Macaca fascicularis: one gene and its partners. The protein of the gene in region 3 interacts with the protein of the main gene of each other region in a pairwise test. Links are inferred from orthologs where the notes say so. Each region holds a gene or a part of one and is shown on either strand. Other genes may lie near its edges.

What was found.
Region 1: the proteins of SDCBP (region 3) and FAM9B interact in binary tests that used the Homo sapiens proteins (3 or more experiments, as listed by UniProt). The two-hybrid records come from large-scale screens. The link is inferred for Macaca fascicularis from reciprocal best matches to the Homo sapiens genes SDCBP and FAM9B.
Region 2: the proteins of SDCBP (region 3) and ZCCHC17 interact in binary tests that used the Homo sapiens proteins (3 or more experiments, as listed by UniProt). The two-hybrid records come from large-scale screens. The link is inferred for Macaca fascicularis from reciprocal best matches to the Homo sapiens genes SDCBP and ZCCHC17.

Annotation. Positions count from the first base shown.
Region 1 is NC_088395.1:8,686,105-8,689,853, reverse strand, and holds the start of FAM9B (protein FAM9B), read left to right. Parts: upstream 1-1,397; 5' UTR 1,398-1,682; intron 1,683-2,439; 5' UTR 2,440-2,528; coding exon 2,529-2,556; intron 2,557-3,058; coding exon 3,059-3,179; intron 3,180-3,358; coding exon 3,359-3,390; intron 3,391-3,749. UniProt on the Homo sapiens protein: May play a role in meiosis.
Region 2 is NC_088375.1:203,711,998-203,715,746, reverse strand, and holds the start of ZCCHC17 (zinc finger CCHC domain-containing protein 17), read left to right. Parts: upstream 1-1,279; 5' UTR 1,280-1,496; intron 1,497-3,749. Other genes in the region: SNRNP40 (U5 small nuclear ribonucleoprotein 40 kDa protein), read right to left, coding at 893-1,033.
Region 3 is NC_088382.1:68,560,234-68,563,882, forward strand, and holds the end of SDCBP (syntenin-1), read left to right. Parts: intron 1-588; coding exon 589-680; intron 681-2,067; coding exon 2,068-2,122; 3' UTR 2,123-3,221; downstream 3,222-3,649. UniProt on the Homo sapiens protein: Multifunctional adapter protein involved in diverse array of functions including trafficking of transmembrane proteins, neuro and immunomodulation, exosome biogenesis, and tumorigenesis.

The sequences.
Region 1 (3,749 bases), on a different chromosome or scaffold from region 3:
TTGCGAGCTATCAATTCCCAGATCCATATTTTCCTTTTCTTCATATTTGTCTGACATGTATTTTTTGTATCATTTTGTTTTAGCTCCATTCTTACATACAGCATATACTTAGATTTTTATTTTGATCCAAGTTGGAAGTCATTTCCTTTAGATTCTGAGTTTATCTCATTCATATTTCTTGCTCAACAGATTCACTTGGCCTTAATTTTGTTCCTTTATGTTATGGTCTCTGGAGTATTTTCTTTATTTTCCAACTTTTACTACAGGATTTGTGTTCTTTGTGTGTGCTCTTTTTGGTTATATAGACATTTAAGGCTGTGGATTAGTTTTCCTGATGACTGCCTTTGTAATTTCTTTTCTTTTCTTTTTTTTTGAGGTGGAGTCTCGCTCTGTCGCCAGGGTTTCACCGTGTTAGTCAGGATGGTCTCGATCTCCTGACCTTGTGATCTGCCCGTCTCAGCCTCCCAAAGTGCTGGGATATAATTTCAATAATATAATGAAACTCTATATCTTGATTTACAAACTTTAGGCAATATTTATTTACTCCTAACTCCAAAACAACTCTCCCCCTATTATAGGCGACTGGAGGTGGGAAAAAGCTGAGTTAACGATAAGTATTAAGGCATTAATTTGTGGGTGAAGGTTGTGGCATATGTCTGGATAAGTCTGGAGCATGAGGGTTTGTGGGCAAGTCTGGGGCATGAGGATGAGAAAGAAAAGTAGTGAGGAAACAAAAATGGTTATGGGCAGGGCACGGTGGCTCATGCCTGTAATCCTAGCACTTTGGGAGGCCAAGGCGTGCAGATCAACTGAGGTCAGGAGTTTGACACCAGCCTGGACAACATGGTGAAACCTCGTCTCTACTAAAAAAAAAAAAAAAATTAGCAGGGCTTGGTGTTGGGCTCCTGTAATTCCAGCTCCTTGGGAGGCTGAGGCAGGAGAATCACTTGAACCCGGGAAGCGGAGGTTGCAGTGAGCTGAGATCACCCTGCTGCACTCCAGCCTAGGCGATAGAGTGAGACACAGTCTCAAAAACAAACAAAAACAATAAAAGCACAATCCATTGATTGAAAAGGATGCAGCTGGGCATGTTGGAAGCACACAGGGCATGGGAGGGAGCCTGGGCCCAACCCATAGGATGATGGCCATTCTAGCCAAAGGGGCAGGGGTGGCTGGAAAGAGCCCCAGGGCGAGGTTCTAGGCCCTGTCCACTTGGCCTCCATACCAAGTCCTGTGTCCCTCCCCAGGAGCAGAAGCTGAAAGAATGTGGGAACAGAGGCCCCAAAGGGCCAACCCCACCTCAGTCCACAGCAACCACTTGCTGTCACTTAGGGGAAGGGGGAGGGCGTGCCAGCAGGGGGCGTGGCCCCACACGGCCTGTCACACGCATGTGCACTGAGTCGACCAATCTGCGAGGAGCGTAGGAAGTGCTGTCGGCAGCTCTCACGAGAACTGAGTACTTGTTTTCTTTTTTGTTTTTTGTTTTTTGTTTTTTGAGACAGTCTGGCTCTTGCCGCCCAGGCTGCAGTGCAGCCGCGCGATCTGGGCTCACTGCAACTTCCGCCTCCCGGGGTCAAGCAATCATTCTGCCTCAGCCTCCTGAGAGGACCCGTTTTCTAAGAGATCCTAGTGGTGCTGTTGTCTGCAGGTTCTTTGAGGGCGCCACATCAGGGGTCCCTCAGGTGAAGCGCTCGCGGTGGGGAGGCGGAAACGCAGGCACGAGGCCCTCTGGGAACCAGGGTGTGAAGCGCTGGGCCGCCCGCTGACCTGTGAGGAAATGCCCCTGGCGTGGTCGCCTGGGGCCTGGGTCAGGGCGAGGCCCTGAGGGTGGGCTGGGGTGGGCCAGGGCAGGGAGGGAGCTGGAGCCGCCTGGGTGATCCCTAGGGCCCAGGAGGGCTTGTGCATGTGTTGGGGGGAGGTGCGGAAGGTGGGGGGAAGTGGGGGTGGGGCGAGGGTGTTGTTGGGGACAGTCTGAGTGGGGCCCTCCTGCCCGGCCTCCCGTCAGGACAGGACACTTGGGGTCATCAGGGGTCCCCTGTGCATCCAGGCGGGTGAGTGACAGTGCAGCCCCTGACATTCCTCTGGAGGTGGCTGGGGAGATCCTGTGTCACCCGGTGGCCCTCCCAGCCACACGGGGTCGCTGGGGGACCCAGAGGTAGGGCTGAGTTCTGTCCCAAAGGTGCGGCGAGGATCCCGCAGACGCCGTGGAGTTCAGGTGTGAGGGGCAGCTGTGAGCTCTGCAGCCAGCCCCGGGGACGGGCTGGACGGGCTGGACGGGCCAGGACAGGAGGGGACACTGGCATCTTTTCGGTCCCCTCCTGCTCCCACAGGAGGCCCAGGGCGTGCCAGCCCCACCCTTCTTAAACCTGTGATCCCAATGGCTTTCCTTTCCGATGCCAGGGTTCCTTTGCTTCCTTAGTGTGCCTTTGCCCTCATCAGGTTCAGGGATCACCTGTAGCTTCCCAGGACAGCCAGCCACGGATCCTGTGGGCAGGAGGGCTGCCAAGGCCCAGTTGGAGGCTCAATTTATGGCGGCCCAGGGGAAGGAGCGTGCAGGTAAATACAGCCCAAGGTGACCCGGAAGAAAGTGCACGCCCAAGAGGACGGTCTGTCTGCTTTCTGCGCTGGGGGCACAGGGGTAGCCCAAGGACCCGGGCCCCTTCGTGGCTTTGGAGTCCATCGTGCACGTGCTAAGATGCCCCAGGTTTTCAAAGCAGGCTCAAGGGCCTTAGGCTTCCCGTAAAAGGCTCCCCTCATAGCGGGGTTACAGATGCTCCCAGAGCAGCTCTTCTCCATGAGTGCAGTCATGACATCCAAGGGGTCTGACGTGTAGTACGTTGTTTACTGGGACTTGAACCCGAAGGGCTTCCAAAAGTGCCTTGATAAAATGGTCAGAAGCCGGTGATTCCATGTACAGCTCTGCTTTAAAGCCTTAATTGGCAGATAGCCAAAAAAAAAAAAAAAAAAAAAAAGTCTACAACTAGTACATTTCTCCACAAAAAAAGTCCACAACAGTGTCTTCCTCTAAAAAAGGTTTGTCTTTTAAATTTTAATGCAGGAAAGGATCCAGTCAGTGACGAATGTGAGGAAAGAAACCCTTTTACAGAAACAAGGGAGGAAGATGTAACTGATGAGCATGGGGAAAGAGAACCTTTTGCTGAAAAAGACGAGCACACGGGGTAAAGTGTTTAAGTCACTTTTGCCTGTCGGATAGGGTCTTTTAGGAAAAGTCACCTTTGGACCATGTCATCACTGTTCTATTCTGTGCAGAACATTTCACATAAGACATTTCTTTTCCCAACAAACATGGCATTTTGTGTAGTATTATGCTAAAATTTTGATGTAACTTTTTTTACAGGGCTAATACCAAGAAGCCAGAAGATACTGCAGGTATATTTTAGGAGTTATCTGTCGTTTATGAAAATTGTTTTCAATCATGCAACTGTTGCAGTAAGTTATATGAATCAGTGGATGACAAGACTGTCTTAAATGGCTTATCATATGTAGCATTTAACATACGTATTTAATGTAATCTGTTTGATAAATTTTTCTTACCTCTTTGATTGTTGATGTGGAATGTGAGAATGCTTCTAATAATGGTGAAGCGAGATGGATGGCTTTTCTTTCATACACGTGGAAATTTAATTGTTTGGAGAATATTAGAGGACATTGGAGGAGAAATAGCTCTATTCGTTCCTTTTAGTGTACGCAGATTAAGTCATATATCAGGTTTTTTTTAAGCTTTCACT
Region 2 (3,749 bases), on a different chromosome or scaffold from region 3:
GTTATTGGCTTGGTAACAGGTGCTGCTACAAAGGCAGAAAGTGGAAGACCAGTTAGGGTCCCACTACAAAAATGCCAGATGAGATAATAACGGCTTAGGCCATGAGGCAGTGATGGAAATGGTAGAAGTAGCAATTCTAGATCTATTTTGAGAACGGTGCCAGCAGGATTTATTGAGGAGATGAGAGGACACTCGTATTTCCTCGTCTGAGCCTAAACAGGGCATTAGAAGTGTGATCACTATTTCCATCTTACAAAAAATATAGTTAGGAGCATGGTTTCTCAGTTCAACATCTGTTTCTATCACGTGCTTGATAAGTCTGCTTTTCCATCTGCAAAATGGGTTAATAACGTTCCTAACAGGCTGCTACCAAGATCAATGGAAATTTCATATACGAAACACCTTAGTACAAGAGTCAACGAATGTTAGCTGCTATTCAGTTGTTAATAATACTAGTGCAGAGAAATAAAGGGAAAAGCAACTTGCCCAAAGTCCCAAAACGAGCCAACACCAATCATTTCCCTCTTTTCCTCCCTCCCTCATTCATTCATTCTACAAAGTCTTCGGAATTTCTGTTCTACGCTAGATCCATGTTAGAGTCAGGATGCTTAAGCCCGGGTCCGGGTTGTGAGCCCAAGGTTCTCAACGCTAATTCTAACGCTACCTCACAAGGCAGTCGAGAGGCTGAAAACCAGCGCCAAACGGGCGAACAAGTACTGAGCATCCGCAGGCTATGAGGCGCTTTTACAATGTTGGTGTGCTTTAACTCTAGGTAGAAACTCTCGTTCTGCCCCCCGCAATGCGGGAAGGGTCGGTGCCGGGTCACCAGATACAGCGCTCTGAGGGGAGGAAGATGAGCTGAGGGCCAAAGGCCGCCTGCTTCTTCACTTACCGCTTGCAGCAAAGCTCCCGGCGTCGCCTGCTGCTGCCCGGCTCCCGGGCCCGACCCCGCTCCCAGTAGCAACTCATGCCGCTGCCGCTTGACTGGAACCAGCGGCAACTCTGGGCCCTTACGCTTCTGTTGTTCTATCATGGCGGCAACCGGTCTCTTCAGCGCCGCCACTGACCGCGCTGCCCCCCTCAGGCGCCACGCAATTGGTTCCAGCTTAGTCCTTCCTCCACAACTTCCAGCTTGGAAGAACCAATCGGTTTTCAATATACCCATTTGCACTGCCCTCGGATAGTCTCTTGTTATTGGGCATATCTTTCTGACGTCATGAGAGTGCGATTCCAGGATTGGTGGACGGAGCTGGCGACCTCCCTAGGCGCGCTGGGTCTTGTGGGTGGAAACGCGCTGGCTGACTGGGCTCGGCGTTTAGTTCAGCGCCGGGACTCGGGGGCCTGGAGCTGACGCCTAGTACGTATGAGGAAGAGCTGGGTGGGTGGCAGCCTGAGTCTGAAGGCGACGCCTCGGTTGTGCAGTCTGAAGCTGCCCTTCTCAGCTGAGGGTGCCGATAGCAAGGGGTGGGAGGCGGGGCCCCGAGTCCCCAGCTGTGGTAAGTAGTAGCATGGGCTCCCTTTCCGGGCGGGAGCGGAGCCTTGGGGGTCTCTGGCGGCAAGACCCAGTCCCTGCGGCTCCCTTCTTCAAGAGCGCCCGTCGTGGCCAGTCCTGTGCCGGGCATTCCCAGGGAGAAAGGCCTGTGTTCCAACTTCCTCCGGCGCCCCGTTTGGCCGAGGAGGCTGACTTGTTTCTGCCACTGATTTTGCAGTTTTTGATTAGGGCCTAGTCTCTGCCCCCCTGAGAGAGACAATGATGAAGGAAATGTCCGACTCCTTCTCCAGAGCGCAGTCTTGTTGAGAAATTTGAGACTCATGCCCATGAACGTGGTCATTGCGTCAGTCGTCCAGCTGATATTTATTTAGCAGCGCGTTGGGGGTACGTCGTGAACCAGACACGGTCCCTACTCTCAGGGCGTTTAAGTCTGGTGGGGAAAACGTTAAACAATGACCTCACTAATACATGGAAATGCCTCCTAGTGCTGTTTGATGCTGAGTGCCTGAAATAAGCAGGAAGGTTTTTCAGAGGAAAAGATGCCTGCTCTGGTAGCTGCAGGAAGAATTGTAATTAATTAAGTGAAGAGGTAAAGGCAGAACCTTCCGTAGAGAACTACTTGTTCAGAGCCCTGAGGCACTTGGGAGGAAAAATGACTAAAAGCACAAAGAGCCAGTGTGACTGATACAAAGAGAATGAAGGGGAGTATGGTACAAGATGAAGCTGTACGTGATAGCGGTCAGACCTTGCAGGAATTTGTAGCTTTATTTTAAAACGGATGGGATACCACTGAGCCGTCTTCCCCCGGTGGGGTGTGGTGGAGGAGGGGGCTTGATTTCTCAGGCTCAGTGGTGTGAACAGATTGGGGCTGGGGAAGCCCTAGTCGATACATGTGGACCACTTAGGATATACAGTAATCCTGGTCAGAGATGTCAGTGAGGACTGAGAAGTGGGTGGAACTGCAGAGAATTGGACAGATTCTAGAGGTATGTAGGAGGTAAAATGGGCGGAACTTGGTGAAGGGTTGATTTTAGTGAGTGAAGACAGGAATCAAAGGTAACTCATAGGTTTCTGGCTAATGTAGTTGAATAGATAGATGGTGGTACCATTTACTCACTATCACGGAATCCCCCAAGCTGGATAGGGAACACTAGAAGACGACTAGAGACCAGTTTTTTTTGTGTTTTTTTTTTTTTTTTTTTTTTTTTTTGTGGGGGACAGGTTCTTGCTCTGTCGCCCAGGCTGGAGTGCGGTGGCACAATCTCGGCTCACTGCAACCTCCACCTCCCAGGTTCAAGCAATTCTCCTGCCTTAGCCTCCCCAGTAGCTGGGATTACAGTCGCCACCGCTATGCCCGGCCAATTTTTGTATTTTTATTGGAGATGGGGTTCCACCGTATTGGCCAGGCTGGTCTCCAACTCCTGGCCTCAAGTATCCACATGCCTCGGCCTCCCAAAATTCTGGGGTTACAGGCTTGAGCCACTGCTCCCAGCTGAGACCAGTTTTGACTGATTGATTGATTGTGTGGGGTCATTCATGATATCCAGGAGGCAGTTTGAAACACAGCTTTGTGCTCAGAAGAGAGATTTGTGTTGGGAATATAAAATTGGGGATAATTTGTATGTATGTGAATTGAGCCATAGGTGTGGATAAGGTCACCTAAGTCAGAACCTTGACTAGTTCCAACATTTAATGGTGAAGAACAGGTGGATCAACCTACAGGAGATACAGAAGGAAGGAAGGAAGACTGGAGGAATGTTTCAGAAGCAAAAGAATGATTTGTGATAGAAACTTCTAGAATTTAAATAACATGAAGATTGAAAAATATATTTTGGCTTTTATCATTGTGGAGGTCATGGTAACGTTAGCAAGAGTTATTTTGTTGGTGTGATTGGGCAAAAAGCCAGATATGAGGCAAGGATTTGGACAAGAAAATGTAGGTAGTGAACCTACACAGTATGTTTCATAGATATGATTGTAAAGAGGAGGAGAGGATGCGCTAACCGATGGAGATAAGGGATTATCCAGGATCCAATTGAGGATACAATTGTGAGAAATTTGAGAATATTGTAGAAGATTTGAAAGTCATTGTGGAGTGTGGGAGAATGAGGTTACTAGAGAAATAGTAGGATGCAAGGAAAAAAAAATTAAAAACTTTTTTCCAGCATATTCAGTGGTTTAGTGCATACATGGAGAAAACCTGTCTGGGTATGGCAAGGACATCGCTTGCTCAAGACACATTCTAACCTCTAATATG
Region 3 (3,649 bases):
GGGAAAATTATTTAATATTCAGAAAGGAAAAGGGTTTTTTTTTTTTGACTAAAATATTCAACTCAGTTTACTTAAGCAAACTGGTTACTAGCTGTAAAATAGTGTACAATTAAACTTGGTAAGAAATACTAGAAAAAAATGCCGGGCGCAGTGGCTCACGCCTGTAATCCCAGCACTTTGGGAGGCCGAGGCGGGCGGATCACAAGGTCAGGAGATCGAGACCACGGTGAAACCCCGTCTCTACTAAAAATACAAAAAATTAGCCGGGCGCGGTTGTGGGCGCCTGTAGTCCCAGCTACTCGGGAGGCTGAGGCAGGAGAATGGCGTGAATCCGGGAGGCGGAGCTTGCAGTGAGCCGAGATCGCGCCACTGCACTCCAGCCTGGGCGACAGAGCGAGACTCCGTCTCAAAAAAAAAAAAAAAAAAAGAAATACTAGAAAAAAATTAGAAATACCAAGCAGGATTTTAGAGATCTTAACAAAACATAACAGGACATATATTTTGTATTTCTTTACCAAGACTGGCATAATTTTGTATTTATTAAATAAAGCCTCTGTGGAATTGATTTTTAATATGTGTTTTTATCAGGACTCTCAAATTGCAGACATACTATCAACATCTGGGACTGTAGTTACTATTACAATCATGCCTGCTTTTATCTTTGAACATATTATTAAGCGGTAAGTAAACAATTCCTCAACTTAATGCATATGGTCGTGTGACTTAATGTAAGCACTATAGTTTAATTCTCAGCCCTTTGGGTCTTTTACCTAAGGAATGAATACTGGTGTTTATCTAGAAATTTGAAGTAAGTTATTTAAGTCAGCGGGGTTGGTAAGGATGAGCTCTTACAACTTCCCAAGTATGGAATAAAATCCACATATACTTTCCTCAGTTTTGATATTGCCTAGTAGAAGAATGCAAGGAAAAGTGGGCATGCTTTTAGCTTTCAATTTGCAGTACAATTGACTGCAGTTGTACTGCCTGCCACTCCTCTGCTCAGTATAAATATAGTTGTAGTGGTTCGTAATGGAGAATTCTTGCTGGTGGAATGCTAGGAGTAAGTTTCCCTTCTCTCCAGAATCTCAGGAAGCAGATAGACATGTGTGGTGTGTTGGTGCTATCTGTGCTCAGGAACTGAGGATTAGAAAGCCAAGTGATCAGAAATGAAAAGAGGCAACAAGGTTACTTCTATACAGCTTTTCGTATCCTAGCATCTACCATAGCTGTTTTTGTCAAGCCAGCTTGGAATCCTTCTTTCAGAACCTCTATCATGCATGTGAAAATGAGATTTAAAAGATTCATAAACATAACCATTGTAATGAAATTTGTATGTTGGCTTCTGGATAGAATGCACCTCCCTACGCTTCGAGGGGGTAAAAAGGAGTTATTGTCATGACTAATTGTTCTAAGGTTCTCTTTTTTTAAATCACTGATGGATCCCTCTACCCCAACTCATCACAGCCGTGTCATTTTCTGTTTTTTAAAATTCACCAGGTTTGGCCGGGCGTGGTGGCTCAAGCCTGTAATCCCAGCACTTTGGGAGGCCGAGACGGGTGGATCACGAGGGTCAGGAGATCGAGACCATCATGGCTAACACAGTGAAACCCCGTCTCTACTAAAAAATACAAAAAACTAGCTGAGCGAGGTGGCGGGCGCCTGTAGTCCCAGCTACTCGGGAGGCTGAGGCAGGAGAATGGCGTGAACCCAGGAGGCGGAGCTTGCAGTGAGCTGAGATCCAGCCACTGCACTCCAGCCTGGGCAAGAGAGCCAGACTCCGCCTCAAAAAAAAAAAAAAAAAAAAAATCACCAGGTTTAATGTACAAGAATTCATTTGTATCCTAACTTCTCTAGCCAAATACAGATAGCCTTTCCCACTGAGGGTCTGTCAACAACTAGATTACCAGAGATGCTTCTGGACTCATTTAAAAGATCTTTCCTTCTCTCCATTCACATTTGATGCTAACAGGTGCTAAATTGGAATTGGGAATTTTCTTGGATTAACATAGCATTTTCGGGGGGGGGGGGACAGAATCTCAGTATATAATAAAAGCACCTCTTTTGTAGGATGGCACCAAGCATCATGAAAAGCCTAATGGACCACACCATTCCTGAGGTTTAAAATTCACGGCACCATGGAAATGCAGCTGAACGTCTCCAGTTTCCTTCTTTGGCAACTTCTGTATTATGCACATGAAGCTTTCCCGGAGCCAGCAAGCATATGCTGCATGAGGACTTTTCTATCTTACATTATGGCTGGGAATCTTACTATTTTCATCTGATACCTTGTTCAGATTTCAAAATAGTTGTAGCCTTATCCTGGTTTTACAGATGTGAAACTTTCAAGAGATTTACTGACTTTCCTAGAACAGTTTCTCTACTGGAAACCTGATGCTTTTATAAGCCATTGTGATTAGGATGACTGATACAGGCTTAGCTTTGTGTGAAAACCAGTCACCTTTCTCCTAGGTAATGAGTAGTGCTGTTCATATTACTTTAGTTCTATAGCATATTTGCATTTTTAACATGCTACCATAGTACATTTAGAATGATTGCCTTTGATTTTTTAAAAAAATTCTGTGTGTGTATAAAATGCCAATTAAGAACACTGGTTTCATTCCATGTAAGCATTAAACAGTGTATGTAGGTTGCAAGAGATTGTGATGATTCTTAAATTTTAACTACCTTCATTTAATATGCTTAAACTGTCGCCTTAACTATGTTAAGCATCTAGACTAAAAGCCAAAATATAATTATTGCTGCCTTTCTAAAACCCAAAATGTAGATCTCTATTAACCTGAAATGTACACTAGCCCAGAACAGTTTAATGGTACTTACTGAGCTATAGCATAGCTGCTTAGTTGTTTTTGAGATTTTTTAGTCAATGCATAATGGAAACTTCTTTCTTCTAAAAGTTGCCAGCACCACTTTGTGAGAAGTGAATCACTATATATTTAATGTAAAAGTTATTACACTAAACAGGATAAACTTTTGACTCCTCTTTTGTTCATTTGTGGATTAAGTGGTATAATACTTAATTTTGGCATTTGACTCTTAAGATTATGTAACCTAGCTACTTTGGGATGGTCTTAGAATATTTTTCTGGTAACTTGTTCCATTTCCTGACTCCTTGCAAACAAAATGATAGTGACATTTTATCCTGAGTTTTTTCTTCTTTTTGGTTTATGGCTATTCTAATTAAATATGTATACATAAAGTTACATTTTAGTCTGTCTGTTACTGCATCATTTGCTTTCACCAAACTTATGCATGATCTAGAAGATAGGCAGGTGAAATTCACTTTCAGCTATGGGAGACATCATTTCCCAGAACAAGCTGACATTCAGGGGCCCTAAGAACAGCTCACAGTGCTGAGACTGAGTGTCAGGAAAATTGCTTCCAGCTGGGAACCCCAGATTACCAGGGCCAAGAGAGCTGGTTCACCCCTGCCATGCAGCAGGAACTCATTGAGGCTACTGACTGTCCCTAGCAATACCTGAGACCAGATAATACTTAATAACACTTGAAACTGACTTTGAAAATTCTATTAGTATGGTCTGACTCAAGTTTTTTCTCCTATATCATACTACTTGTAAGATACAACAGTGTTTTTAAAGAGTACAGAAACAATAAGTCGCACAATTAACCA